Lonchura striata: one gene and its partners. The protein of the gene in region 2 interacts with the protein of the main gene of each other region in a biochemical or structural test. Links are inferred from orthologs where the notes say so. Each region holds a gene or a part of one and is shown on either strand. Other genes may lie near its edges. The genes, in order: ERBB3, NCK2, PDGFRB and LIMS1.

Region 1 (7,960 bases), on a different chromosome or scaffold from region 2:
CCCTCCACCACGTCCTTGTCTCCTCCATGTCCTTGTCCCCTCCACCATGCCCCTGTCTCCTCCATGTCCTTATTCCCTCCATGGTGTCCCTGTCCCTTCCATGGTGTCCCTGTCCCCTCCATGTCACCCAGCCCGCGGTGTCCCTGTCCCCTCCATGTCCCTGTCCCCTCCATGTCCCTGTCCCCTCCGTGTCCCTGTCCCCTCCACGGTGTCCCTGTCCCCTCCATGGTGGCCGTGTCCCCTCCACCACGCCCCTGTCCCCTCCATGTCCTTGTCCCCTCCATGTCCCTGTCCCCTCCATGTCCCTGTCCCTTCCATGGTGTCCCTGTCCCCTCCATGTCCCTGTCCCTTCCACGGTGTCCCTGTCCCCTCCACGGTGTCCCTGTCCCCTCCGTGTCACCCAGCCCGCGGTGTCCCTGTCCCCTCCATGTCCCTGTCCCCTCCATGTCCCTGTCCCCTCCGTGTCACCCAGCCCGCGGTGGCCGTGTCCCCTCCGTGTCACCCAGCCCGCGGTGTCCCCCTCCCCGCCGCTCTCCCCGCCCCGGGTCCTCCCCCGCCGCTCCCTCGCGGTCCCTCCCCGCTCGCGGTGCCCGAACCGGCCGGGCGAGCCTTGCGCAAGGCGGGCGCCTCGGGCACGGCCCCGCCACGCCCGCCCGGACTTCGGCCCCGCCGCCGCCGCCGCCCCGCGGGCCGAGCCCCGCGCCCGCCCCGCTGCGGGGTCCCGGCGGGGGCGGCGGCTCGGGGTCCCCCGGTTGTCGTGCGGGCGCACAGGGCCCCCTTTGTGCGCGGGGCCGGCACCGCACAAAGCCGCGATTGTGGCGGGGGACGCCCCCCAAACCGGGACCCCCGGGGGCACCGAGGGGCGCGGGGCCCCCCCGGATCCGCCAGCCGTGACTCAGGCCGGGGCGCGGGGAGGGGGGGCCGCGGTCAAAGGCGGCTTTGTCCGGCCCGGGACCCCTCCGGGGGCGGCGGCGGAGCTCGGGGCACGCACGGGAAGGGCCCCCCCGGCCCGGCCCGGGCCATTTGAGCAGGGAACGGGGCTATAAAAAGGTCCCAGCTGCGACGGCAGCGGCCCCGGGCCCCGCCGCACCGGGGAGGGGCACGGGGGGAGCCCGGGCCGGGGGGTGCTGCGACCCCCGTGAAACACCGGGGGGGACCGGGGGGGACCCCAAGGTGCCGGGGGGCAGCATCCAGCCCTGTCCGCCGGCTCCTCCGTTAATGACCCACCGACACCTTCAAGGCTCCGAGGGTCCCGCGGGGGGATTTTGGGGGGCCGCGACCCCCGGTTGCACCTGCCCGCGGGGGGGTGGGCGGCGATGGTGGGACCCCCCCGGTTCCCCCCGGGCGCCGCGGCGGCGGCGGGACCGGGCGTTATCAGCGCGGGGCCCCGCCGGCAGCTCCGGCACGTCCCCGCTATCAACCGCGTGCCACCGCGGCCCCCGGCGCCAGGAATAGCACCGGGGGCACCGGGGGGCACCGGGAGGGGCTCGGAGCGACCTCCTGCCCTCGGTCCCGGCGGCGGCACAAAGGGGGCTGTGTGCGTGCCGGGCCCCGAACAAAGGGGGCTCTCAGAGCCGGGGTTTGGGGGGTGCAGAGCTGGGGCCGCTCCCGGGGTGTCCCCGGGGTGTCCCCGGGCCCCCCGAGTGTCCCCGAGCCCCCCGAGTGTCCCCGAGGCTCCCTCTGTCCCCTCGGATCCGGAGCCCGTGGGTGGCACCCGAAGCGTCGCCGGTGGCACATGGAGCGGGGGACACAGCGAGGGGTCCCCCCGGTGTGCCCCCCACCCCCGGGCACCCCCGGGCACCCCCCCCGGGCATCCCCCGGTGTTTCGGGGCGGCGCCGGCCCCACCTGCGCGTCCAGCCCTCGGTGTTTTTCCTTTGGGGATTGAAAAACAACTCCCGGGCGGCCGCGGCCCTTCCGGGGTACCGGGGGTGCGGGGCGGCCTCGCGGGACGGCACCGGGGGGATCCTCCGGGGGTCCCCCGCTGGAAGGATCCCCCCCACCCCCGACCCCCCTCGGGGGTCCCGCCCGGAGCCCAAAAGCATCGCCGGGCTCGGCCCCGCAGCCTAAAATTAGCCCGGGCAGCTGCGGGGCCGCAGGTGTCGAGCCCGGGAGGGGACACCGAGAACGGGAGGGGACACCGAGAACGGGACCGAGCCCGGGAGGGGACACCGAGAACGGGAGGGGACACCGAGAACGGGAGGGGACACCGAGAACGGGACCGAGCCCCGGCAGGGGGCACCGAGAACGGGACCGAGCCCGGGAGGGGACACCGAGCCCGGGAGGGGGCACCGAGAACGGGAGGGGGCACCGAGAACGGGACCGAGCCCGGGAAGGGACACCGAGAACGGGAGGGGACACCGAGAACGGGAGGGGGCACCGAGCCCCGGGAGGGGACACCGAGAACAGGACCGAGCCCCAAAAAGGGGCACCGAGCCCCGGGACCGAATCAGGGAGAGGGCACCGAGAGCGGGACCGAGCCCCGGGAAGGGGCACCGAGTCTAGGACGGATCCCGGGGGCGGCCACCGAGCCAAGGACCGAGTCCCGGAAAGGGGCACCGAGCCCCGGGAGCGGCCACCGAGCCCCAGCCCCGCCGGAGCCGCAGTCCCGGGGAGGTTTCAGCGCCGGTCCCGGTGTCCCCGGAGCCGTGCGGTCCCCCCGGGGGCAGCACCGGGGGATCCCGGGACGCCCCCGCGGCGGAAACAGCCGCGGGAATTACCGGGATTGGAGCGGGGTCCGGTACCGGCGGAGTCGGGACAGCAGCACCGCCGCCACCCCCGAGCGCTCCCGCTCCCGCCGCCCATCCCGGGAGCCCCGAGCGCTCCGGTGCTTCCCCGGTTCCCCTGTGCCCGATCCCACGGCGCAGCCCCGCTGCCCCCGGTGCCGGTGCCGGTGCCGGTGCCGGTGCTCACCTGCCTGCGCGGAGCCGGGCGCGGGGAGCAGCAGCACCGGCAGCAGCAGCGGCAGCAGCGCCCGGTGCCGCTCCCGGTGCGGCTCCATCGCGGGCGCCGGTAGCGGCGGAGCGTGCCCGGGAATGCACCTGGCGCGGGGCCCCGGGGCGGGCGGGGCCGGGCCGGGCCGGGCCGGGGATGGCGGAGGGGGGGAGGACACCCCGCTGCCCCTCCCCGCCCCTCCCGGGACCCGCCCGGGGCGGTGGCACCGGCAGCGGCCGCCCTCACCGGGCCGGGACCGGCCCCGCGCGGCGCCTCCGGCCCGGCCCGGGGCCCTCCGGTCCGGTCAAGTGAAGCCCCCACGCCCCCAGCCCGGTCCCGGTGCCGGTCCCGGTGCAAATTCGCCCTCTACGAGCTCCCGGTGCCCCCGGCCCCGTTCACATCCCCCGGTCCCGGTTCGCCCCCTCCGAGCCCCGGTCCGGTCGCCGGTGCCCCCCCAGCCCCGTTCACACCACCGGTCCCGCCGCGCCCCCGGTCCCAGTCCCGGTACCGGAGCAAATTCGCCCCCTCCGGACTCCCGGTACGCCCCCCAGCGCCGTTCACACCCCCGGTCCCGGTCCCGGTCTCAATTCACCCCTTCCGGACTCCCGGTGCCCCCAGTCCCGTTCACACCCCCGGTCCCGGTCCCGGTTCGCCCCCTCTGGACCCCCGGTCCGGTCGCCGGTGCCCCCAGCCCCGTTCACACGCCCGGTCCCGCCGACCCCCGGTCCCGGTCTCAATTCGCCCCCTCCGTGCCCCCGGCCCCGTTCACATCCCCGGTCCCGGTCCCGGTGTCAATTCGCCCCCTCCGTGCCCCCGGTCCCGTTCACACCCCCGGTCCCGGTCCCGGTGTCAATTCACCCCTTCCGGACTCCCGGTGCCCCCAGTCCCGTTCACATCCCCGGTCCCGGTCCCGGTTCGCCCCCTCTGGACCCCCGGTCCGGTCACCGGTGCCCCCCCAGCCCCGTTCACACGCCCGGTCCCGGTCCCGGAGCAAATTCGCCCCTCCGGACTCCCGGTGCCCCCAGTCCCGGTCCTGGTCCGAGCCCCCGGTCCGGTCGCCGGTGCCCCCAGCCCCGTTCACACTCCCGGTCCCGGTTCCGGTCCCGGTCCCGGTCTCAATTCGCCCCCTCCGTGCCCCCGGCCCCGTTCACACCCCCGGTCCCGGTACCGGAGCAAATTCGCCCCTCCGGACTCCCGGTGCCCCCGGCCCCGTTCAGATCCCCCAGTCCCGGTCCTGGTCCGAGCCCCCGGTCCGGTCGCCGGTGCCCCCAGCCCCGTTCACACGCCCGGTCCCGCCGACCCCCGGTCCCGGTCCCGGTCTCAATTCGCCCCCTCCGTGCCCCCGGTGCCGTTCACACCCCCGGTCCCGGTTCACCCTCTCCATGCCCCCGGTCCGGTCACCGGTGCCCCCCAGCCCCGTTTGTACCCCCCGGTCTCATCGAGACCCCTCCCCAAAAAATCGAACGGGAGGGGGAGGGGAGGTAGGGACCATTGAAGACCCCCCCCAAAACGGGGGCAGGGGTCTGACCCCAAAAATGCCAAAACCGGCGGTTCTGACCCCAAAACCGGGGGGTCTGACCCCAAACACCCCAAAAACGGGGGGTCTGACCCCAAAAAATCCCAAAACCGGGGGGTCTGACCCCAAACACCCCAAAAACGGAGAGGGTCCTGCCCCAAAACCGGGGGGTCTGACCCCAAACACCCCAAAATGGGGGGGGTCTGACCCCAAACACCCCAAAACCGGGGGGTCTGACCCCAAACACCCCAAAAACGGGGGGTCTGGCCCCAAACACCCCAAAATGGGGGAGGTCTGGCCCCAAAAACGGGGGGTCTGACCCCAAACACCCCAAAATGGGGGGGGTCTGGCCCCAAACACCCCAAAATGGGGGAGGTCTGGCCCCAAAAACGGGGGGTCTGGCCCCAAACACCCCCAGGCCACACTGGAGGAACCCGGAGCCCCCCCAAATCCCCAAAACCACGGAGTAAGATCAGAGACCCCCTCAGGACCCCCCAAAACCCCGAGTCCCCCCAAAAATCGAACGGGTTTGGGCAGATCCTGAGACCCCCTCACTCAGGACCCCCCAAAATCCCAAATCCCCCCAAAACACCCTCAGGACCCCCCAAAAATCCCAAATCCCCCCAAAACAAGCGGGCTGGGGGAGATCCTGAGACCCCTCAGGACCCCCCAAAAATCCCAAATCCCCCCCAAAACACCCTCAGGACCCCCCAAAATCCCAAATCCCCCCAAAACGAGCGGGCTGGGGCAGATCCTTTATTGACGCTGCTCTGGGGGTCCCGCGGCTCCGGGGGTCCTCACCGGGGGTCCTCACATGGGTTTTGGGGGGGGGCGGGGGGCGGCTCCCTGCAGAGAGAACCCCAAAATTAGGGGGGCTGGAGGGGGGGGGGGGCACAGACCCATGGGACCCCCCAAAAATCCTTCCAGGAACCCCCAAAACTGTGTGGGACCCCCACCCAGGTACCCCCAGACCCCTCCAGGATCCCCCCCAAACGTCCCCTGGGACCCCCCAAAACCCCCTGAGACCCCTTGGGATCCCCTAAATTGTGTGGGACCCCCAAGGACCCCCCCAAACCCCTTTGGTGCCCCCAAAATCCCCCCAAATGCTCCCTGGGACCCCCTCAAGAACCCTTTAGGACCCCCAAAACCCCCTCCAGGTACCCCCAGACCCCCCCAAACGCCCTCTGGGACCCCCCAAAACCCCTCTGGGATCCCCCCAGGTCCCTTCTCAACACCCCTGGGACCCCCCAAACCCCTTGGGGATCCCCCCCCAAACATCCCTGGGACCTCCAAACCCCTCAGGGACCCCCAAAACCCCTCAGGGACACCCCCAGACCCCGCCAAGCCCCTGGGACCCCTGGGGGACCCCCCCAAACCCCTCCAGGACCCTTCTGAACACCCTTGGGACCCCTCAAACCCCTCGGGGACCCCCCAAAACCCCTCAGGGATGCCCCCAAAGAAGCCTGGGGCACCCCCAAACCGCCCTGGGACCCCCCCAAACCCCTCCAGGACCCTTCCAAACCCATCGGGGACACCCCCAACCCCACAGAGACCCCCCCAAACCCCTTTTGAACACACCTGGGACCCTTCAATCCCCTCAGGGACCCCCCAAACCCCTCATGGACCCCCCAGACCCCTCAGGGACCCTCCCAAACCCCTCAGGGACACCCCCAGACCCCTCGGGGACCCCCCCAAACCCCTCATGGACCCCCCAAACCCTTCATGGACCCCCCCAAACCCCTCATGGACCCCCCCAGACACCTCGGGGACCCCCCCAGACACCTTGAGAACCCCACAAACCTCTAATGGACCCCCCAAACCCGTCAGGGACCCTCCCAAACCCCTCAGGGACCCCCCCAGACCCCTCGGGGACCCTCCCAAACCCCTTAGGGACCCCACAAACCCCTCGGGGACCCCCCAGACCCCTCATAAACCCCCCCAGACCCCTCGGGGACCCCCCAAACCCTTCATGGACCCCCCCAAACCCCTCGGGGACCCCCCAAACCCCTCATGGACCCCCCCAGACCCCTCATGGACCCCCCCAGACCCCTCGGGGACCCTCCCAAACCCCTCATGGACCCCCCCAGACCCCTCATGGACCCCCCCAGACCCCTCGGGGACCCCCCAGACCCCTCATGGACCCCCCCAGACACCTCAAGGACCCCCCAGACCCCTCATGGACCCCCCCAGACCCCTCGGGGACCCCCCAGACTCACGGCGGGGCGGAAGCGGGGCGGGGGGGTCCGGTCCTTGCGGGCCTCGCGGGAGCGGTTGCGAACCACCTTGCTGTGGATGGCGCAGCTGACGCAGTAATGCAGCTTCACGTACAGCTTGGGCAGCACGTAGGCTGGGGAGGGAAAACGGGGTTCAGGGACCCCAAAAACGTAACCAGGGACCCCAAAAACCCCAAAAAACACACCCAGGGACCCCAAAAACCCTAAAAAACACACCCAGGGACCCCAAAAACACCCCCAGTAATGCAGCTTCACGTACAGCTTGGGCAGCACGTAGGCTGGGGAGGGAAAACGGGGTTCAGAGACCCCAAAAACGTAACCAGGGACCCCAAAAACGTAACCAGGGACCCCAAAAATGTAACCAGGGACCCCAAAAACCCCAAAAAACACACCCAGGGACCCCAAAAATGTAACCAGGAATCACAAAAACCCCAAAAACACACCCAGGGACCCCAAAAACACCCCCAGTAATGCAGCTTCATGTACAGCTTGGGCAGCACGTAGGCTGGGGGGGGAAAACGGGGTTCAGGGACCCCAAAAACGTAACCAGGGACCCCAAAAATGTAACCAGGGATTCCAAAAACCCTAAAAAACACACCCAGGGACCCCAAAAACCCCAAAAAACGCATCCAGGGATAACAAAAACCCCAAAAAACACAGCCAGGGATCCCAAAAATACATCCAGGGACCCCAAAAACCCCACACCAGGAACCCCAAAAACACCAAAAAATACACTCGGGGACCCCCAAAAACATATCCAGGGACCCCAAAAATACAGCCAGGGACCCTGGGGGTGGCAGGCACTATTTTGGGGTGCCATAGGGGCTATTTGGGGGTGACAAGGACTGTTTTTTGGGGAAACAAGGACTGTTTTTTGGGGTGACAAGGACTGTTTTTTGGGGAGACAAGGACTATTTTTTGGGGGTGACAGGGACTATTTTTGGGGGATAAAAAGGACTTTATTTTGGGGTAACAAGGACACTATTTGGGGCTGATCCAGGGGGTCTTTGGGATTTTTCTGAGCCTGATCCAGGTGAGTTTTTGGGATTTTTCTGAGCCTGATCCAGGTGAGATTTTGGGATTTTTCTGAGCCTGATCCAGGTGAGTTTTTGGGATTTTTCTGAGCCTGATCCAGGTGAGATTTTGGGATTTTTCGGAGCCTGATCCAGGTCAATCTGCGGGGTGTTTATGGGGCTGATCCAGGTGAGTTTTTGGGATTTTTGGGATTGGAGTTTTTGGGACTGGGGGTGAGAAGAACTATTTTTTTGGGGTGAGAAA
Region 2 (6,950 bases):
GTCTTTTTGACACACCAGATGACCTACTTTGGGGGAGCAGGGTGTCCAGCAACGAGCACCCAGCACCTCACCCCTAGGCTGACTGAACTAACCAAAACACAGCAGTGCCTGGTTTCAGTTTTCAAACTCCCTCAAACATCTCTAATGAATCCACATCAGCAATTCCCCTTCCTCAAAACACAGCAGGAGTGGGGTTTGGGAATACCCACAGCCTAGAAACCATCAGTCCCTCAATACAAACAGAAAATATTTTTCTAGAACGTATGCTTTACATTCAAAGATGCCTTGGTTTTGATTTCAAACCTGCTGCAAGTAAATTGATACAGCACCTGTCTCCATGAGTCTGGAAGCAGCTTTAATGCTCAAGGAGCATGAGAAATGCAGATACTCTGGGTAGTTTTGCTGCTGCTCAAGACCACGACCAGCAAACAGAGCTATCTGGGTATCACTTTTCAAGTTGCTACTGTTATAGTTTCTACTGAGGAAAGCCATGAGAACTGCAAAGGATTAACATACCAACAGCAACACAAGGCACAGATAAAACAAAGGCTGGAAAAGCAGCAGACACGGCTGACCTTGTCCCTCTTCTTTATATAGCAGAAGATGTGAGGTGACATGGAAGAGTGCAAACACCTTTCCTTAAGCTTTCAGACAGCTAACCAAGAAAACAGAGAAGAGAGGAAAGGGAGGTAAGTTCCCTGTCTGTAAGGCAACAAGGCAAAGGCTGAACTTCTGAATTTATCATATGTTCAGTAGTCTGGATGTAGTAAAAAGGATCATCCACACTATCAAGGGCTAACTCCGCTATTAGTTTTGGGAAAATAATGCAAAAGAGATTTTGTGTATAATTTTTTTTTTTCACAAAAGCAATCGAACTGTAATCTGGTAGAAGTAGGAGGCAAATGCAACAGCTAATGTTGCGACGACAGAACAACAGCAACAAGAGCTAACATTATAATGAATCTGTCTCCGTTTCATGGCCTATATAAAAATATTTGCTAATTACAGTCTTGATCTTCATGGTACGGGTGCCTTCTATTGCTACATTTATTCACTGTTCCCAAAAGTGACATCTTCTGTCAAAGTCACAAGAAGAAAGTCAGTTACAAAGACAAAGCAATCTGCTTAACTTCTTAAACACACTTGGGTGAGACAGAGGCTTTCGATTTCCAGAGTTGTGAAATCAATATTTCAGAGAAGCAACATTACATCAGAAATTATAATCCTAAAAATGAAAACACAGTACCATTAACATCATCTATGTGGTGCTGCTTCAGATTCCTAAAAAGCAACGACAAAACAAGTACTTTCAAACAGAAATACTTCATAATCTCCTACCCAGTGAGTCCTTTCAAATTCCTCCATATTAAGTTACCAGTCCAAACTCCCGATGATACAAACCACGCATGGTTAGGCCATGAAAATTTGTTTTTACAAAGGGCCACTACCACATTTCATGAAAGATAAGTCTAATTCTCCCACGTTAAGCTGCTAGAACAGCAGCAGTACGTTCCTCAGAAGAAAAAAGCTTCATGGGAAGAAACGCTGTTCAAGCTGAAGAACGCTTTAAATTGTTGCCGACTTTCAGTCACTGTACAACTTTTAAAACAACAAAAGGTTTCTCTTTGTTTTACAAAAACACGGTAGTTCAGAGTGAAATACTACACAGAATCCACGGAAAAACCCTTATGCACACAGAGAATCACATTCACTGTTAAAAAATAGTGGAAGATATTAACATAGAAACTAGAGCTGAGAGCTCTCATGATCAGCCAGCTGCAGGTCAGACCTGAACTACAAAACTGAATCCCGATCTGGCAACCTGATCTTAGATAGGCCAAAGTGCCTACCCTGCCAGCAAGGGGCAGCTGTTAGGCTGGGCAGATTTTTAATTAAAAACAGGGCGAGAAGACTTATAAACTTCAGTAATTTTCTTCCCAAAACACGCAGGGATGCGCTTCACTGAACACTCATTACGTGAGGTGTAATTTTACCTTTATGTCCTTTACCTATACTGGCATCGACCGAGGCCATAGCGCACCGCGCTCCTTGAGAAAATCCGCGGCCTCAGCCCTATGAAGTCGAAAGTCGGTGACGGAAAAACAACGAACTGAGCGGACCGAGGGCGATGTCCCCGCCGCAGCCCGGCGTGCTCGCTCGCCGGTCCCCGCGCGGGGCGGCGGCGCTCCCGCTCCCGCCCGGGAAACTTTCGGGGTGCGCCGCGCTCCGGCCGGGAGGCGCTGCCCGCCTCCCCCGGCGCTGCCCCGGCCGCCGGATCCACCGCCCCTGTTCACCGGAGCCCCGCGAGGGGTGCGGGGGTGGCGTCCCGGCCCGGCGCTACCCCCCGGCCGGGCGGCACAAAGCAGCGGCTGTCACACGCACGCACACACACGAGCGGCAACTCGGGAGGATGAAGAGGAGCCGCCCCCAGCCCCCCCCCCCCCAACTGGACGTGGCACAACGAACACTCCTCCCGCTCCGGGCCCCCCGGGCCGCCCCCGGCAGGTACCGGCCCCTCCTGCGCGGGGCGGCCGCGGAGCCTCGGCCGCACAGGTGACACCCGCCTTTCCCCCGCTCCCGACGCCCCTTCCCCGCGTCGTCCCCCGCGGCCGACACAAGTTTGCGGCGGGCCCCAGCCGCCGCCCCGGCCCCATCCCCGTCCCGCCCGCGGCCGCGCTCACCTCCGGCCGGCCGGCGGGGAGCGGAGCGGGGCGGGCAGCAGCGGCGGGGAGGCTCCCAGCCCAGGCGGGCTCCGCTTCTTTGTCTCCTCGGCGGCGGCGCCCGCTCGCTCCCCCTCCGCTTCCCTCTGTCCTTCCCCGGGCGGATGCGGGCCGCGTCCTCCGAGAGGGGCCGGCTGGCTCCCCCCGCTTCCCCTTCCTTCTCCTCCCGCGCTCTTCACCGGACGCGTCCAAGGCCCCGGCCCTCGGCGGCGGCAACGGCGGCGGCAGCTCCGCTCCCTGCCTTCCCTCTGCCTGCTGCGCCCGGCGGCGGCGGCGGCCCCTCCTCCGCGAACCGCCCCCCCCCGGCACAGGCACAGCCCCCGCCCCCGCCCTGCCCTTCCTGCCGCTGCCGCTGCCGGGATCGCGCGGGAGGAGCTCTCCGGGCTCCCCCTTGCCCGCCGGGAGGGCCGCTGCTCCCCCGCCCCAGCGCAGGAAGGACGGGCAGGGACAGCCTGGGTGGCTCCCTCCCCTCTGCGGGAGGACCTCTCCGGGACCGCGGGGCGGGGCAAAGGGGCCCCTGCCCGTGACGAGCGCCCTGACACCTCCTTCCCCTTCCATCCCCATGAGACCCGGGGAAGCTGCCCCGCTGGGAGCGGAAGCGCCCGGGAAAAGTACTGGCGAACGCTGAAAGACCCGGGGATGGGGGAGATGTGCGCGCTTCGGGGCTGGGCCGGGGGATGCGCCGCGCCGGGGTTCGCCCCGGGGCTGCCACGGGCCGGGCGCTTCGCGGGCCGGGAGCGCGGCGCCGCTGCCGCCGGGGAATTTCCAGCCGCGATACCGGGCGCTCCCGCCGCCGCCCATTAGCCGCGGGGCGGCCGCAGCCGTAGCTCTTCTCTTCCCGGCCCTTCTTTTCCCTGCCGGCCCGGGGCGAAGTTTCAGCCTCGGTGCCCAGTACATCAGCCGGTCGGGCGGTAATTGGTAGGTGCTGTGCCCTCGGCAGAGCGTGTGGGCACGGCAGCCACCCCAAGCCACAGATTCTGAGAATATCCTGTGTTGGAGGAGACCCACGGGGTTCATCGTGCCCAACTCTTTGCCAAGCACAGGACACTTCAGTAACTCCACCATGTGCTGAGAGCACTGTCCAAATGCTTCTTGAACTCTGTGAAGCTTGGTGCTGGGGCGCCTTTTCCAGTGCCCAAGCACCGTATTGGTGAAGAAACTTTTTCTAATATGCAGCCTAAACCTCCCCTGACACACTTCAGGCCAGTCTCTGGAGTAAGCCAATTCTGAAACAAAGCCCCGTGGCTGGGTGTATGTCCAGCCCGTGCTACCTGCTGTGCCTCTCCACTCACGGGAAAGATCTCCACGAGTGATTAAAGGCAGAGGACAGAAGCATCCCATCGTGGCCCTGGTCTCTAGTGGGAATAGCCAACCTGCCAGCTCCAGTGCTTTCCCCTTGGCACACTCCCCCCAGTAGTGTCCCTAGGCTATGGGGAAATATTATCCCTCGGGGTGGGCAGGAAGGAAGGGGGAAGCCACTCTAAAATATTGTAAACCTTTGGCATGTTTACATGCCGTATTTACATACGAATACATACATCTTTACATATGAAATATGGCAGCTCCGAGGGCGAGGAGGCTGGAGTGTTATCCATACTGGTTCTTCTCAGGAGACAATTCCTGGCTTTGGAGGCAAGACTAGGAAACACCACTCTGAATCCAAATTAAAGTCAGCAACCCTGCCACCTTGTTTTCTGTGACCAAGCTTAATATAGTAGTGAGATCTTGAGACAAAGATGTGTGCTCGGCCATCTTTCCATGCTCCTGCTTAAAATGGTTTAGAAATCCTCAAATAACTCCCTCTTCCCCTTGTTAACTTTTACAAATTCTTACAGCACTTAATTGGTGGTTTGGGAAGTTCCAAGTGCCTTTCACTTGCCTGTGAGATAAACCTGAAAGGAAAATGCAGCCACCTCTTTCTTCCAAGAAAGACTTTGTATGCACCTCGGGGAGGAACAGAAATCCCCTTTCCTGTGTTTTTGTGCATGCATTTAATTTCACTTCAGAGAGGTATTAATCTTCCTTTTGAAACAATAATCTGACCATGCTTTTTTAGAGCTGGAAAATATTTGGGGTCCCTGCTGGCTCCACCTCACAGCATGGTTAGGCATCACTCCAGCCTGCACAGGCTTAGGCTGAATTTAAATGGGATCGGTCATCCAAGGACTTTCAGATAAAAGTCTCTGTTGTTTCTAGAACAAAATGCACTGTGGAAGAGATAAAAGAGAGGTGAATTATCCCTTCCATCCTTTGCATTTATACTATACAGTTAGGTTTTGGTCTCAAGTTTTGTCCCTCTTACCACACCTTTGCTAATGCCATCCCACAATAAATCCTCCTCTGGTTTTTTCCCTATTCGCTGTTGAATTGAGGATGTCCAAGGCAAGGTGGCATGGACCCTTCGAAGTTTCTGGGCTAAGACCTCTAGAAGGGACCATTAGCTGCTGAATGAGCGGTAGCTCTCAAAGCTTTCCAGGTATCTGAAAAAAAATGATAAAACACACCTAACTTTAGCAGATTAATGCTAATAGGATTTGCAGAATAAGAATGTTTTAGGGAGGGATTTGGATGAATACATTGTCTTGAGGCAAAGGACTAATTTAAGGACTCTGAAGCATACTGTTGTTAAATATACTTAATTGCATTAAGAAGAGATCCATTAAAGCTGGGGTTTTTTCCAAAGTGTGGCTTATGACAAACAGAATACACTGTAAAAAGTGTTTGCAAGGGTTTATATGTTGAAGGATGTTTTAACTGCCTATTTGCTGAATGAATCCTTAGGTTTCCCCACAAAAACAACCAAGATGTTGCCCTGAGTAGTATTTCAAAACATTGAGCCTACTGAAATATTAATGTATGCCTTTTAAAATGTCATAATTAGCTGTTATCTCTGAAATAACTGTTATTAAGAAGAGCTGGCTGCTTGTGATTTGAGTGAGAATTACATTCTAAATATGAGAAGATGATAAATTGGGGGGAATATGCACAGAAGTGAAAGCAGTACATGATGTGGCAGGCACACTTTTGTATAAAGAAAGTAAATATGTAAAGCATGCACTTTTGCATATGCATAAGAGTGGTGCTGTCCTTACAAAACATATACACCGTAGAGAAGAGCATAAATATTTTTCCCAGCCTAAGGCCATAACTATATACTAAAAAGAGAAAAAAATGGGTGAATAATAGAAATATGTATCTATGTCTTTGGCAAAGAAACAGCATGCCTCATACCACTGTTTCAAATAGGGCTACATGCAAACCCCAGACCCAGAGGTTGTGTGATAGACCTATTTTGCAATTATATAATGGCAGTCAATTCATCTTGATGTTCATGTTTTGCACAAGGCACTAAAAAAAAAATAATAGCATGTCTTTTGGCTTATAGTTCTTTACTTTTTTTTTGCCTTTCTTTTTTCATGACTACCCATTTTCTTTCCCCTGTGTGCTGCTGCTTGGGCTTTACCACCGGCCCGGCAGAGCGGTGGCTTCCACAGGATGGGCATGCGAACATGTGGATCCCAGCCATGCAGATCCAAACCACACTAATGTGTTTACACACAATGCGGCAGGAGAGAACAACCACCTCCCAGATGTGGCTCCTTCTGCACAAATACCTGATCTTTTCTCCAGATGCATCAGGTTTTCTCACCAGCTGCTCTATCTAGAGTCTGAACTAATACCTACTCCCATAGGGATACACTTTAGCAGGGATGTGAGACAGAGGGACTGGTAAGTTGAAAATCTGGAAAACAACATTGTCCAGTTCAGAGGTAGACAGCAAAAGGTGTTTTGTCACTCTGTGTTAGTCTATTGGGATGAAAATATACCTAATCTAAGTTAATATAGGTTGGACTCCATGATCTGAGAAGTCTTTCCAAAACAATTTATTCTACGATTCTGTGATTAACCTCTTTCAAAAGCCCCTACTCCTGATTTTCAAAACTGCCTTTTAAAGATAACAATAGTCTAATAAACTCCATTTATACATGTGTGATTGTTGATACTGTATCAATAACAAATGGAAAGATAAAAATCTTTGGGCATTCTGGGGAAGAAAAAAGGGGATTTTAAATTCTCCTTAACCTGAAAAAATGCTAATTTTAATGACACAAACAACAATAACAGAAAATAACAGAAAACTTCTGTCAGTATATTTTCTCTCAAAAAAAAAAATCTTGAAGGGTTTACATCACTAAATATTTAGTTTCTGCTTAAAACATATGTTCAATT
Region 3 (6,979 bases), on a different chromosome or scaffold from region 2:
AGACACCGAGGCCAAAGGAACCTTGAGGACCAGCAGAGAAGTCTCTGCCTGGAGCCTCTGGCAGCAGCTGGACACTTGGCCAATGCCATATCCAGCCAATGGTCTCTTTTTGCATGGCATTACTCCCACAGCTAGAGAGCATTTCTTAATCTCAGCCTTCCTCTGGTGTTCACTGAGACAATCCTGTCTTGCTCTGCTCCTGCAGACAGGCTCGGTGCTCTCCTCTCCCTGAGAGAGTTGTTCTGAATGCCTTGGAAATCCTGTCACAGACCCATTGAAAATGAGGCTGAAAGAGATCATGGTGTCACTGTCCTGTGCCCATGTCTTCCAGCCAGAGCTTTCCCTGACGTGTGCTTTGAGACTTGTGATGCTGAAGGAACTCAGCCTTCTGTTTTAAACCTAGAGATATTCCTCCTAAAATCTCTTTTCTCTCTGTGATGCCTTTTCCTGTGCATGAAGCTGTGTGTCACCTTCCCACAACACCCAGTGACCAACGAGCCACATCAACCCCTCTCCCAGTCCTTTGCAGCTTCTTCTGGACATCTCATCATCCTCACTGCTGTCCCTGAGCCCATCCACTCCACACCTATCCCTGCTGAAGCACCTGGTGTCACTTGCTGGGGAGGACCTGCTCCATCCACCCTGCCTCTCTGAGCTGCCTCCAGCCATGCATCTTCCAGTGCATCCCTCAGGAAGAGCTTGGGTTTCCTGGCACCGTGCTGCAATCTGGTCTGTGTCCACTACAGCCACTCTGCTCGCTTCTGGACTCTGCTGGAGCTCTTGGCATCTCCTCACACACAGCTGCCCGCCCAGCTCAGTGCCACCCCAGGGTGCAGGATGTGTGCTCAGCCACCTCCCAGGTGGTTCATGCAGGGATTGCACAGGACCAAGCCCAGGCCAGAGCCCTGCAGCACACCACAAGATGTGCCCAGGACTGTGGACAATAAGCCATGGCTAACTTCTCCCAGACTGCAGTAGTGCAGCTGGCTGTGCTTGCTGCACACTGACCACGGGCACCCCGCACTCCCAGTCCTGGGCAGGGATGCAGGAGGTGATGCAGGGACAGGGACATGAGTGGCTGTTGTCTCCTGGACTGCTCCTTCTATGAGGACCCTCCATAGTCCTGAGCTGGAGGAAGGGACAGCCAGCTTTAGGAAAAGCCCTGTGCATGCTGTGACTTGGTGCTTGTCCAAAACTCCGATCCCCCCGATGCACTGACTGATTTAGAGGTGTTTCCTGGGCTCAGGGACACTGCCCAGGGTTGGTGGCTGCCACAGCAGCCAGAGCACACCCAAGCTTGGGTGACATCCCTGTCAAGAAGTGACTCCAAGCCTCATGTCAGACCCTGGCCAGGGCTGCCAAGCAGGGCAGCTGCCTGGCAGCTCCTCCTCCAAGCCAGCCTGGCCTGTGTCCTCTGCCAGGCAGAGACACGTCCTTGACACTGGCTCACTGACCACACGAAACTCACTCCTTCCCCAAGAGCATGGGAGGCACAAGCATCTTGTCCTGCAGGGTGCTGAGGGGGAATGACCCTCCCAGCCACCCCTCAATGGCCTCTGGGAAGCACTGGGTCTCAACATTGCTAATCCTTTTCATCAATGAGAGATCTTCTGAAAAGATTTGGGAATGCCAAGCCTCTGCCAGCACAGGGTGTGCACACCAGACCAACTACTTTAAGCTACTTTCCCCATGCTTTAGCATAAATCCCACTTGCTCTGGGACCAGGACGGAAAAGCACAACATCCCTTTCCACCACAAATCCTGTTTTGAATGACTCCCAGTTGGCAGGTGAATGCAGGAGCTGGATGCTCTAAGGCCACTGTGAGCACCAAAGCTCCGCAGGTCATGCTCACCCCTGTTCCTGGGCTGTCAGAGCCTCACTCCAGACCAGCTCTGCCCTGCTGGAGGCCCTCAGCTCTTGTGCTCTCAGGACAGCAGAGTAGCCACCCACATCTATGCCTAGTAGAGTTTTACCAAGCTCTGCCCTCTCCAGTATGCAGCACTCCCAGGTACAGACCCTGGGCAGGGCTTGCACATGTCCCTCTCCATGCCACAGGCACAGGAGCCCTGCCATGGCCACAGACAGAGGTGACACGGTCCCTGGAGCAGCCTGATGGCCATGGGTGTGTTTGGACAGGCTGGCAATGACAGGGGTGACACTGCTCTGCACTCACACTCCAAAGGATATCTCACTGGCATGGCGAACAGCCTCTGACCCCTGCACACCCCAGCCCTCCCACAGCCACCATCCTGCAGAGCCAGGGCTAGCCCCAATCCAGGGAGAAGCAGAGATCACCTGGGCCCTACTCCCACTGCAGTGGGGTCCCCCCTTCCTGTCCTACAGCCGCAGCATCCCCTCGCTCCTCTCAGCCATCCCCACCCAGGGGCTGGTGAGAGCTGATGCCGTGTTCCTTCCCGTGGGATGCCGGAGAATTCAGCTGCTTTCCACCAAACACCATCTCCCCAGGGCTTGGTGGGCGTTTCGGGCTGCCAACCCTTGGAGGGGAGCAGAGCCCCTTGCAGAGCAGCCGGGCCGGATCAGGGACAGGGTCCTTCGGGGCTGTACCAGGTCCAACACGACATTTCCCATCTGGAGAGCCAGAGCTGAGCAGGAGGGCGAGCCAGCCCCCGGGTGGGCGACACAAGAGCTTACCTTGAGCAGGGTCCCGCCAGCCGAGTGCCTGCGCCGCACGTCCCACCGGGAAGGCTCCGAAATTCCTCCCTCTCCTCCTCCAAACTCTCTATCTGCTGCCTGCTGAGGCTCTCCCTGCCCTCCCAGCCTTCCCCAGCTGGCAAGGCTTTTCCACTTAAAGGCGAAAGAGAGGGAAAGAAAGAAGTGGAAGGGAGGAGCGGGGGGAAAATAAAATAAAATCAAAAGGAGAGGCAAGGCTGTGCCAAGGCTGGGCTGCAGCCAAGCCCCTGCTCTGCTCCTCTAGTGCATCCGAGCAGTGCCCTGTGCCGCCCCAGCCCAGCTGGGAGGGGGCTCTGCCTCCTCGGACCCCAGCGTGGAGCAAAGCCCGGGGCCGAGGGATGTGCACGCGTGTGTGCGTGCGTGTATAAATAAAAGAGACCTCGGGAGGAGGAGAAGGGGGGAGGCTGCTTCGCCAATGAGGAGCGGAGCTCCTCCGACTTCCTCCCTCCACCCTCTGTGGGGACCCTTTGCGGAGCAGAATTTGCGATTAACGCCCGGCGGACGAGTGTGATGGGTGAAGGAAAAAAAAAAAATAAATAAAAGGAGAAGAAGCCAAAGTGGCTGCAAGGAGAGGAGAGTTCTGCTGCGGGCTGAGATGGGGCGAGCGATGAGGGCCCGGCTAACAGGGAACAAAAGGAGCCCGGAGCAGCCCGACTATCGCCTCCTTAAACCGGAGGGAAGGAGCTGCCCTCTCCCTGTGTCTGCTTTCAATTCTGGCCTTTCCCTCTGTTTTCTTTTTCTTTTATTTTCTTTCTCTTTTTTCCCCCCTCTAGCCCCCCCCCCCCCTCCCGTTTTTTCTTTTTTTTTTTTTTTTTTTTCCCCTTTCTCAGGATATGAGGGGATGTTTAGAAAATCCACTGCCCACGCCAGCAGCTGACTCATGTTTTTATTAAAGAAGGCCTGCACTGAGCTGACTCCGTGTGCTCCCCCGATGCCTCCCTGTGCTGAGCTGTGCCGGCCCCGCCGCTCCTGGCCCCTGACCCCGACTGGCCACTGCCCCTTGGGGACCACCAACGCACCCTTGCAACTCTTCTTCTTTTTGGAAAGGGGGATAAAAGGCTTTCTGCAGCTGGGATGCTGCAGCGAGGGTGGGTTTAGCTGGGGATTTGGCGCTGTTTGGGCTGCTGAGGGCACAGAGCTGGAGAGGTGGCAGGAGTGGTCACCTCAGCCATGCCATCATCTCAGATGTCCTACACCCCTGCTGCCCTGGGGGATGGAATCCACGTGATGAACCAGTTTTAAATCCTCCCAGCTTCTTAAGGAGTTCAAATCAAGTTTCTGAGAAACTTTCAGTAGGCAGAACATTATCATGTGTGCAGAGTGGATTTTTTTCAATTTTTTTTAGCACTGTAACAAGGGACAGGTTATCTTTGGATGAAAACTGCCTTTGATCCATCAGTTCTTGCCAAGATTTTCATCCTGGGGATGCTTAAGGGTGGTCAGGCATTGGAACAGGCTGCGAAGGGAAGTGGTGCAATCACCATCCCCAAAAGTGTTCAGAAATGTCTAGATGTGGCACTTGGGGACATGGCCTAGTGGTGAAGATGATCTTACAATGATCTTACAGATCTTTTTTAGCCTTAACCATTCTGTGTTTCTCTCTGATCCAAATAAGAAATAGTTCAAAACTGCACTGCTATCCTGAAAAGATACCTGCCCATCTTCCTTTAATTTTCCTTTCTAAGAATTAAAAAGCCCTCTCCATGACAACACTGCTGAAATCTGTGTTTCTGCCTTTTTTGCAAGGCAGACTCATCCCCTCCTGCCAAGCTAGTCAATGCCTGCACAATGGCCAGAGGGAATGATCCCCTGGCTGGACCAGCCCAAGAGATTTGCTGCTTACCTCACATTATCTCCATGTTTTCTTTTTATCTATCAAAAACCAAAGGGGAGGTGTTTATTCTGTGCAGCTGTGGAGTGTGAGGAGAGCCAGGCTGCAGCAGCCAGGCTATCCCTGTGTGCCACTCATGGCATGGGGCTGCTGTGCCTGGCAGCAGGACAGCTGCAGGAGGGATGCAGCCCTGGCTTGGAAGGATTCCCCCAGCTCCAGACCTGGTGGTGGCTGTGCCAGGGGCCCTGTCAGCCCCCGGGCTGAGACAAGCTGCTGTGCAGAAATGGAGGCAGCGAGCTGAGAGCAGCTCGTGTGGGGGGCAGGCAGCAGAGGGATGTGCTCTGCACATGGCTCTTCCCAGGGCTTTTCCCGAGGGACAAAGATGTGTCTGCTGGGTCCATATGTGGGGACCTAAGGGCTGCTGGGAATTGCTCAGCAGAGCTGTTTCCTGGCAGTGTCCCCGCTCCAAGGACGTGACTGTTCCAGGCAGAGTGGGAGAGGGAGAAACCCACTGCTGCAATCCTGCTGGGCCCCTTGCACTGGGGATGGGCTACCTGGGATGAGCAGGGGGTGGAAAAGATGACACAGACCATGCTTGAGGGTAGAGCATCCTGAGCCTGAAGTGGGACGTATTTCCCTCAGTCCTTTGCAAACAGATGGTCCCAATACCCACTCCAGGCTGGGTCCAGGAAGAATCTGGCAAACAAAACCTCCCAGTCTTGCAAAGGCCAGGATTCATTGTTTGGGGATGCTGAGAGAGCCCTGGGGAGCCCAAAGCATCCCGGCAAGCACACGTCAGCCCACTCTGTACATCCCCAGGGAGCATCCGCAGCCGCACATTTTGTTTAGGAACAGCACGTTGGGGTTACAGCAGCTCCTGGGAAAGGCCAGCGCAGAGGAAGCACCAAAGCCAGAGGAACTCGCCTGTGCAAGTGTGGGGGTGGAGGGCAGCAGCTCTGCTACTTCAGCATCATCAGCCCTTCATTGCTCACCTCTATTTTTGGTGTTTCGTGGTGCTGCAGGACCCAGTGGTCCCCCTGGGGCTGGGACAGCTGCAGTGTGGGATGCCAGACCCCTCTCAGCTGAGATCTCCAGCCTCAATAAGCGTTGTTAAGTGCTAATGGGGGCTTGGGGTCATGTAGTGCAGCATCTCTGGTAGGGAAATCAACCACTGAAACAGGACATTCCAGGGTATTTGGTCTGCTCTTGCATCACGTGGATAAAAGCAGCTCTCTGAACTCCTGCCCCATCCCAGGCAGAGCTGGGACCACAGAGAAAAGCCCATATCCCAAGCCTGATATAGAGGAGAGAGACCAGAGCCAGGTGACCCAAGACAATGGTGGAAACAACCATGCTGAGTCAGCAACAGGTACCATGTGCCAGCAGGTGACAGGCAGGTACAAAAGAAGCAGCAGGTGCTGGCCTACTCCACTCCTTTGAAGGTTTGATGAGGGCCAGATTTTCTCCAGCTTCAGTTTTTCAGAGCCTCTATCAGTTCCAAGTCAGCCCAGGAATTTCAGCGTTGCTCTGAAGTGGTGTGAAGCTGCAGAGCACAAGAGAGGAGTGGCGGGTGCCAGGGAGCACAGCACCACATCTGGGCAGCCCATCTGCTGTGGCAGCTGCCAGCACATGCTGCTGGCTGGATGCAGCCCCTGGGCCCTGCAGGGAGCTGCCCCGAGGCTTCATCCAGCATCTCTAAAGCTCTGCCCTGAGGAGCCTGTACCGTGTGTGTGTGTGTGTGTGTCTGTGTGTGTGTGTGTGTGTGTGGTCCTGCTTGCACTGGGTGGGTGACACCAGTGCCCAGGGAAGAAGGGGAGGCAGAAAGGGCTGGGCTTCTTCCAAAGTGAGTGCATGCCCAAGCATAACATGATGGGAAGCATCCTGTGGAGTATCCTGCAGCATTGCCCAGCACTGGGAACACTCCTGCAGCACTGGAAACCCTGGCCATGGACACCACAGGGTGCCAGCAGTGTCAGGAGGTAACACTGGGCTGTACCCATGTATTGTGCTGTGTCCTTAGGGGTGCTGGCCCGTTGCCTACATCCTCTGGGCTGGGGCACTGGGAGGAGGCAGCAGCCAAGGACGATGTTATCCTGCTGCCTTTCCCCACCTCGGGGCCTTTCCGACCCCGTCCCACGCACTCCTCCTCACCCCCGCCACGAACCTTGGTATTAAATGTGCTCGGCAGAGCCCCGGGAGGCAGCGACAGGCTCCTGGGTGAATACTAATAACGGTGCTGTCCTCTGGCCCCAGACTTTCCCACACATCTGCAGCCACTTTAATGTGGGAATTGTTAACCCTCTGCTTGCCCCGTGCCCGAAACACAGCCAAGGAGTGAAACCAGGACGCTCGCCAGCAGTGCAGGGGGAGTCACACACCCAACCCACTGAGAGCAGGGCCCACACATGCTGGGAAGCAGTGAGGGCTGGCAGCATGTGTCCCTGTCCCCAGTGCCC
Region 4 (7,987 bases), about 950 kb from region 2:
TCCACATAGTGCAGGCAGATGACTCAGGCAGAATCAAAGGCTGGCATTTGCCTGTACGCTGAGGATTCAGTGGAGGATTTTTGGTGGATGTCAGTGACAGATGACATGAACTGAATATTTGTGCAAGGAAGCCATTACCCTAAAGAGAAATACGTTACTGCATTTTAGAATCATAGAATCATTTAGGCTGTAACAACCTCTTAATATCAAGTCTAACTAATAACCCATTACTGCCAGGTCTACCTCTAAACTATGTCCCCAAGTGCCACATCTACATGTCTTTTAAATAGTTTCAGGGTTGTTGACTCTGCTCCACTTCTCTGGGCAGTCTGTTCCAAATGCTTGACGCCCCTTTGCATGAAACAAAAAAAAATAATGTCCAATCTGAACTTCCCTTGAAGCAACTTGAGGTTGTTTCTTCTTGTCCTGTCACTTTTTCAGAGCTTGGTGGACTTGATTTTCTCTTTTCAGGCTTGAAAAGATGGTTCTTTTCACAGCGACTGTCTCAGGAACATTTGATGTGCAGCCCCTAGAATTAAGTGGCTGACCTTTTTTATTATTCTTAAATTAGAAATGAGGATGTAAGTGTTATATGAAATGCATCAGTGCAAATGTATCCTTAAAATTTATAGAGTTGGAGGAATTTGGATACCATAATGAAATAGACTTGCAGTTGACTACTCAGGTGCAGATTTCAAGAATAGCCAATAATGTGCTGTGTCACATGCAACACAAAATTATTGGAGTTCATGAGCTTCTCATATATGGTACTGTTTGTTTTATTTTTCCTGTCTGCACAGGATTGAAGGAAACAGTAGTGTGGGAGGACGAGATGAATGTTTTAAAGAGTATCAAATATCTGTACACAGAAGTTATTACTTGGTTTATGCTTCATTTGGTAATAGATGTAACCAGCAGGAAGAAAACACAATACTTTGCTGAAATATTACTTACAACAGGAAAATGCTGTAGTTGCATATTGCTCTTCCTTTATATAAATTCTGTCAGAGACTGATATTTCACTGTGCCTGAATGACTGATAAACATTGTGTGGGAAGCTGCTGCTTACCTGTCTATTCCAGTTATATTTACTTCCTTATGGAGAGATGGAATGTGAACCTTCTCTGTTTATGGAGACCAAAGCATTTTTTGGACATGTTTATACTAGAATAAATTTATACTGGAGGATATGAAACAACTAGAATTGCCTTTTTGTTTGCCCTGTTTAAACTCCCACCACATAAGCTTAATTATGTATTTTGAGGTGAAGACTAAAGAATGAAACTTTCAGGAACACTCAGAATTCACATGATTTTTACTGCAGTGTTTTCAAGATGGTTTTCCATAATTTTTAATAGAAGAAGTAGTTGGAGCAGTGCTGAGCACATGTGAAAATCCAACCTGTAAAAATGTGCATTTTAATTATATAAAATATTAATTACTTTTTTCAAACTGCCTTAGGAGACCAGAAAGTATTTTATTGCTTAAGAGATAAACAATTGCAGCAACCAGAACCCAAGAGTGTTTTTAATTTCAATAAGAAACCCTCACAAAAGGTCAACTAGTGCTTTGAAATGTTGGTGCAGAAATCAGAGCAGGGCACTGCAAGCCCACGCGTCTTTTGCAGCCAAACTTCTTTTCTAGGTTGTTCTGTATTTTGCGTGTGAGAGTCACTGCACAGCATCTGTTACTGCATCATTGGAATGAACCCACTCGTGCCTGCGGGGGAGGAGGTGGGATGCACTGTGCTTGTTCATCCCCCGCCTGTCCCCGCGGGTGTTTCCTCCCGCAGCTGTATGTCCCGGTGGCACAAACAGGTTGCCAGGCAGCAGCTGCCTTTGCCAAGCACCTTGTTTGGAGCCGTGGCTGCTCCGCACACGGCTATTTGTGGCACGGAGTGAAATGCTCAGCGGGCTTGGCTGGCCACCGAGCCGTCACTGTAAGAGTCCCTGTCTGCCCCTGGCAGCCGCCGGCATGGGCAGCCAGGCTGGAAAGCTGTGCAGCGAAAGCAGCGTGGAGTGAGGCGGCAGTCATCCTTCAGCAGGGATTAGGCAGTGCGCCTATTTTTGCTATTGTTTACCAAAGCCCTTCTGGTAACCGCAGTGGAACACTTCTCCCTCCCTCTTCTACCATTTCCTTCAGCACCTTCCCTACCATCAGTTTTGGCTTCTGATAAGATCTTCAGTGTGCCAAGAGGAGATTGTCTTTTTCTTTCATACCTGTCTTTTCTAGTTAAACGCCCAACTTCTTCTCCCTAGCACTGCATCTTTAACAATAGGCTGCTTGCTGTGTTTTGTCCCATATCCCAGGGAATGCCCTTGGGAAGCTGCTGCTGCAAAACAACCCCTTACATACTTCTCACTCTCCATGGACAGCTTCACCTCAGAGTAACCTAGAATTCCCTCATGAAAATGAAGTGTATTTTTAACAATGTATTTCAGATCTGGGCAGCATGCCTCCTATAAAATGTCAGAAAAGAGAAGGATGGCCAGCTGCTCTGGATTATCAGACCTTCACAGTAGAAGCTGTGTTTTGCTTCAGTAGCATAAAGGCCCTTTTAAAACTCTTGTTAAGCTCCTTCTTGTTTATTAGAAAAAATTTGGAGTCATTCCTCCAGCAGCAATGGTAATATGACTGGAGAACCAGACAACTTCTACTTACTGCACATATGGAGTCCTGTTACTTTGAAGGACTTGCTCCTGACAAAAACTAGGAAGATAAAACCAGGCTTTTTGGATGGACATCTTACTGCACTAACTTGCTGTACTACTTGCTTTGCTACAGCCATGCAGAAGACTGCACAGTAGCAAGGTGAAGGAGCAATCAAATGTTTTCTTGTTGACCAAAGAGAATATGAGGCAGCAGAAGTTGTTTCCAACCACATTGGTCACCTGTGGATTTCAGATTACTGCAAAACTGTAGTAGTCCACCAGGAAAAAGTCTCTATGGGGCACTTTTGATTTACAGCAGCATCTTCCCAGGAGAATTGTCTGTGATCTGGGACAAAATACAGGAAAAGAGTTGGGAAATTGTTGAGAAGATAGTGATAAGAGGAAGAGGTAGGCTCACTTGCTGTTTATTATCTTAGTGGCTTCATTTATCTTTACTAATCCTGAATAAATCAGCATTTTTAGTCCACTGTAGTCAGTCTCACTGAAGTTTTTTATGCCCACAGAAGCTCAGCACTGACCTGTGCAAAAAGTGTTGGGAAGCAAGATGAAGAAGAACTGGCATCACTATACCTGCATGTCTGTTGGCAGTCTGCACATTTTCATCACTCATGCTTCAGAGAATGCAGAAACCTTTTCTTCCAGGACTGCAGTGGTGCTCTGGCAAGATCTTTTTGGCCTTGGGCTAGAACCTGAGCATTGCTTCATCTGCAGTGTGCCCTATGACAGATAAAAATAGGACTTGAGCTGCAGCCAGGCTGTGTCAGTGGTGAGGGTGCAGCTTCCTTAGCCTGTTAGAGCTTGACTTCTGGTAGCTCTGGCATAGGGTGAATAATCACACCTACAGACAGGCAGATCAGCAGGGTCATGCTGCCTGGGTCCCACCTACGCAAGGAAATAGCTTGCCTAGGGGGTTGTTGCTCCTTGTTGAGGGGAAGTGAAGGGAAGACACTGACCAAACCCATTCCACAAATTTGTCAGCAGAAGCAGCAGCGTGGGACTGTGTTGGCTGAGCTGTAGGAAGGTGGCTGCATGCAAGCTCAGGCCTGCATGGAGAGTGGCGTGTGGGCTGCTGTACGCTTGCTGAGCAAGCTGTCTTAGGTGGTGGTGAGAGATATGGCCAAAAAACATCACCAACCAGACCCTCTGTGGTAGGTCCTAGGGAAGGTGCAGGTATATTAAGAAATTGTAGCCTTGACTGGACATTCTGTCATATCCTGTGACAGTATAAGCGGAAATGGCCTCAGGTTGTACCAGGGAAGGTTTAGATTGGAGATCAGGACAGATTTCTTCATGGAAATGTTGTCAAACACTGGAACAGACTGCCCAGGGAAGTATTAGCATCACCATCACTGGTAGTATTTAAAAGATGTGTAGATGTGGCACCTGGGGACATGATTTAGTGGTGAATGTAGCAGTATTAGTTTAATGGTTATACTCAGTGGTCTTGAGGTCTTTTCCAATCTAAATTATTCTATTACTCTCTGATCTTAGTTCTAGTTTCTCTATTTGTTCCTGGTACTCATCTCCTTCTTGTCATCCTCTGCTTCCTCATGCCCCCTCACAGACTAGCAGATTCTTCAGCTGCCAGTGTGCTGTGTGTCATGAGCACAAAGTGCATGCAGTTCTGCAGTTCAACTGGTTGCTAACAAGGCTGAGACAGTTCAACACAAAAGTTAGTTACTCAGGGGGGCTTCCCAAAAGCCTTCCTTTTCTGCAGTTATAAAGTGCTGGAAGCCCACAGGCACTGTGCCACAAACACTGCGCTTCAAAGAGGGAGAGCTTGTAAGAGTCTAATTATTAGCTGTAAATCTTACTTTAGTTAGTGTTCTTACATTGGATAGTTGTTCTAAATGCAGCACATCACTGGAAATAAAGCTTTGGTTTTCCTCCTTCATGTATTGTCCATTATGGCATGCCTGTCAGTTTTGTTAATGGCCTGAGAAACAGAACAGAAATCAAACAATCTGCTTGTACCTTCCCCTTGTCTGAAGTACTGAGAAGAGGAAAGACATACATAGATAAATTCAACACATATGACTTAAAAGACACAAGTGGAGCATTAAATGTCATTTTTACAATGTAATTAACACACTATAGCATTAAAGCAATATTTACCTGGAGACAGGAGTCTTCTGATCCTGCTTTCCACTGTTGGTTTGCCCATGATAAAATATTGTTGGACTCTGCCTTCACGCCCCCACAGCATAAAGAAGCTGCAGCCAAGTTTGGTGATAAACTTATTTGCACATAGGTTACTCACACCACAGCTCTCCTGGGCAGCTTCTGTCAGCAGCCAGCAGCGAAGACCCTTTCCAGCATCCGAGTTTACATGAGGGCCTGGTGAGGGGAGTGTTCTCTGTGCACAGCCAGCCTGCGTAAATCTCAGCGTGACAGGCTCCCAGCCCTGCTGCTGAACTTTTAACTTGAAGCTCTAGCAGGGTGCTGAGTAGCTCCAGCTACATGACAGGAGCTGTGAAAGTAAATCACTTCGCTGGGAACAAGGGGAAGTCCAGCATATTGTTTTGCGGACTTTGCCTACAGTTTGTTTGCAGTCTAAGCATAGAATATATACACCTGGGAAAGCAATCAGAGCGAGATGGACTTCCAACGCAGAGCTCAGCCCTTCCCCATCCCAGAGGATGAAGAGGTTGCCTACAAGGTCACTCCTGATGCTCACAACTCCGCAGGAAATGAAGGCGAGAAACCGGTGTCAAAATTGCAACGTAGGCACAGTGAAATAAAACTCTACAAAGAGTTTTGTGATTTTTATGCAAGATTGTAAGTTTGTTCTGTTCAGCTTCGGGGTGTAACTGCAGTGACATTACTGGTGTATTGTACATAATATATTTTATTATCTGGGGCTCAGGCTGTGCAAGCTGTTCTCTCATTCAACCTTTGCCACTGTTCTGCTTGAAACATTGCCAGTTGTAACAACTAAAATTTGAATTGTTGCTTTAAATTTCATCATGAATTGCATCAGGAATTTTTATCAGCAGTAAAAATGGTGTTGGAATTTTTAAAGTAGTCTCTCTGCCTTCAGGTTGTTTGCCAGTTATTCTGGGCAAATGGATAAACCGCTTCATTAATGCAGAAGTATTACATACTTCACTAGTTTTACATATGTGATGTGTTTCAAAGTTAAGCACTTTTTCCTGAAGAGGGAAACTGTTTTTACTTGGTTTTGAACTTTGTTTCATGTTTTTGCTTGGATTGTACTTTACGTACATCAGTGCTTAGAATCCTTAATGCTCAAGCACTGTTGAAGTGATGATGAAAGATCCCAGTTTCTCTTGTGATTATTCTTCATTTAGATTGATAAGGAAGATGGGAAAATTGACTGAGGTTTTGCCCCACAGAAAGCATACACAGTCAATGAAGACCATTGATGACCTTTACAGTTGATCACAGTTTATATGTATAGTCACTGCAGTTTGTCCATAGGTCTGTCTGTTATTAGGGGTTAGACCATCCTGTGTCTGATCTTCATGTGAAATTTGCCCACTCATTTCACTGTGAGGACAGTGGATATTTGGATTGCAGTTACCGTTTTCCTCATCTGCAAAGATCAAGTGAGAGAGAAAAAAAAGTGCTAGCTAATAATAACATGTCAAATGTGACCTTGTGTAGGGCTCTTCTGTGAGACAGTGTAAGAAATAGATAAAACACATTCCATTTTGAACCACGTGCTAGGTGTTTGCTTGCTCCCTTGGATAGTGTGCAAGGAATGAATTCAATTCCTATTGAACATGGTGGGAGCCCAAAGGTCTTATCCCCTTGAAGAGATAAGAAGGAAGGCTTGGCATCTTACAGAGGACTGTGGGCTCTGCACTTACAGGCACAGCATGATAACTTATCAAAATGCGTGCCTGCATGCATATGTGTTTCAAATAATGTCACTTGTCTAATAACCTTCCAGATAAATATTGAGTCATTAGTTTTCTCAGCTGACATCCCATTTTAATGAAACTAGACCATTGCCCTATATTTACTTTCTGTTACCACATGGTATTAAGGATGATCCTGAAAGGCAGAGTTTTGAGAGCCTAGATATGAGTGATGGAATGTTTGCAAAGGGAAAACCAAAAGAGCCTTTTGCTGGCTTTAATTAACTGAAAATCAGCTATACTGTCTTCTGCAGATGTGGACAGCTACCACACTGCCTTTTTTTTGGTCCTGTGCCTTTGAGAAGCAACCAAGGTTGCTGTTTCAATATTTCTTTGCATCCCTGGCATGGGTCGCAGTGGGGCAGCCAGAGCATTCCCACCCTCTCCTCCCCCCTAGCCTTGGAGTGGGCTATGAGCTGGCACATGATCAGCCGAGCTCCCTGAGATAAACCCTAACAAAGCAATCAAAAATCCCATGATTTCAAACTAAATTTGTAAAATGACTTCAAGCTATGCAGAGCTCATATAAAGGATAATTATTTAACTACTCTGTTTTTCATTAATATCTGCCAGACTAGATCCTGCACACTCTTTCACATTGTTTATTTAGAGCTCTGAACCAATGCCATTATATATGTATAGTTTAGAAGTTATATATGTATGTATTAGAATTGGTTTACAATAAATAATTTATGTTTTACTGTGTGATGCCAGTCCTTAATCATTAATATTTGCCCTTGTTTTCAGTCATTTTAATGTATATCATAATTCTTATAGTACTTTGAATTGCCTTTTTTCATCATAGAAAGCCTGTAAATGTGTCTGAAGAGACAAGGTTTCTGTTTGGGGTTTTCAATTAATTAGAGCATATCACAGGGATTTTGTTTCTATCTAAAGAGTTAGGGAGCAGGGAGATGCCGCAAGCTATGAAGTTCATGGAAAAACTTGTGCTGAGCAGCTTATCATTAGGTTGGTGCAGTTTGGCCTGGTAGAGCAGGGGAAAGACTGATGACCAGTGTTGTTGTCTACTTAGGCTAATTTTCTTTCTTTTTTTTTTTTTTTTGAATGACAGCAACATGGCGAACGCGCTTGCAAACGCCATCTGTGAGCGCTGCAGGGGGGGCTTTGCCCCTGCCGAGAAAATTGTGAACAGCAATGGTGAGCTGTACCACGAGCAGTGCTTCGTCTGCGCCCAGTGCTTTCAGCAGTTCCCCGAAGGGCTCTTCTATGAGGTAAGTGGGGCAGAGACCCCTGCTGTCCCCATACCCCCTCTTGAGCCTTCATTCCCATAGCAGAAGTAGCTACAGGCAGGTGGATAGCTTAGAAAGTCCCATGAGAGTATCTGGGCTCTAACAGAGTATGCCCAGTAAAGGGAGAAAAAAACCAGAAGCATTTCTGTGCTAATTTGGAGGACATCCATGTATATAACAT

The links.
Region 1: the proteins of NCK2 (region 2) and ERBB3 form a complex in vitro, tested with the Homo sapiens proteins (2 studies listed by BioGRID and IntAct, with this or other methods). The link is inferred for Lonchura striata from reciprocal best matches to the Homo sapiens genes NCK2 and ERBB3.
Region 3: the proteins of NCK2 (region 2) and PDGFRB form a complex in vitro, tested with the Homo sapiens proteins (2 studies listed by BioGRID). The link is inferred for Lonchura striata from reciprocal best matches to the Homo sapiens genes NCK2 and PDGFRB.
Region 4: the proteins of NCK2 (region 2) and LIMS1 form a complex in vitro, tested with the Homo sapiens proteins (4 studies listed by BioGRID and IntAct, with this or other methods). The link is inferred for Lonchura striata from reciprocal best matches to the Homo sapiens genes NCK2 and LIMS1.

Annotation. Positions count from the first base shown.
Region 1 is NC_134629.1:9,399,058-9,407,017, reverse strand, and holds the start of ERBB3 (receptor tyrosine-protein kinase erbB-3), read right to left. Parts: upstream 3,019-7,960; 5' UTR 3,000-3,018; coding exon 2,912-2,999; intron 1-2,911. Other genes in the region: RPS26 (small ribosomal subunit protein eS26), read right to left, coding at 5,259-5,294, 6,665-6,795. UniProt on the Homo sapiens protein: Tyrosine-protein kinase that plays an essential role as cell surface receptor for neuregulins.
Region 2 is NC_134604.1:89,332,370-89,339,319, reverse strand, and holds the start of NCK2 (cytoplasmic protein NCK2), read right to left. Parts: upstream 3,010-6,950; 5' UTR 2,682-3,009; intron 1-2,681. UniProt on the Homo sapiens protein: Adapter protein which associates with tyrosine-phosphorylated growth factor receptors or their cellular substrates. Maintains low levels of EIF2S1 phosphorylation by promoting its dephosphorylation by PP1.
Region 3 is NC_134617.1:6,433,978-6,440,956, reverse strand, and holds the start of PDGFRB (platelet-derived growth factor receptor beta), read right to left. Parts: upstream 3,019-6,979; 5' UTR 2,654-3,018; intron 1-2,653. UniProt on the Homo sapiens protein: Tyrosine-protein kinase that acts as a cell-surface receptor for homodimeric PDGFB and PDGFD and for heterodimers formed by PDGFA and PDGFB, and plays an essential role in the regulation of embryonic development, cell proliferation, survival, differentiation, chemotaxis and migration.
Region 4 is NC_134604.1:90,285,303-90,293,289, forward strand, and holds the start of LIMS1 (LIM and senescent cell antigen-like-containing domain protein 1), read left to right. Parts: upstream 1-4,977; 5' UTR 4,978-5,268; coding exon 5,269-5,450; intron 5,451-7,628; coding exon 7,629-7,788; intron 7,789-7,987. UniProt on the Homo sapiens protein: Within the IPP (ILK-PINCH-PARVIN) complex, binds to F-actin, promoting F-actin bundling, a process required to generate force for actin cytoskeleton reorganization and subsequent dynamic cell adhesion events such as cell spreading and migration.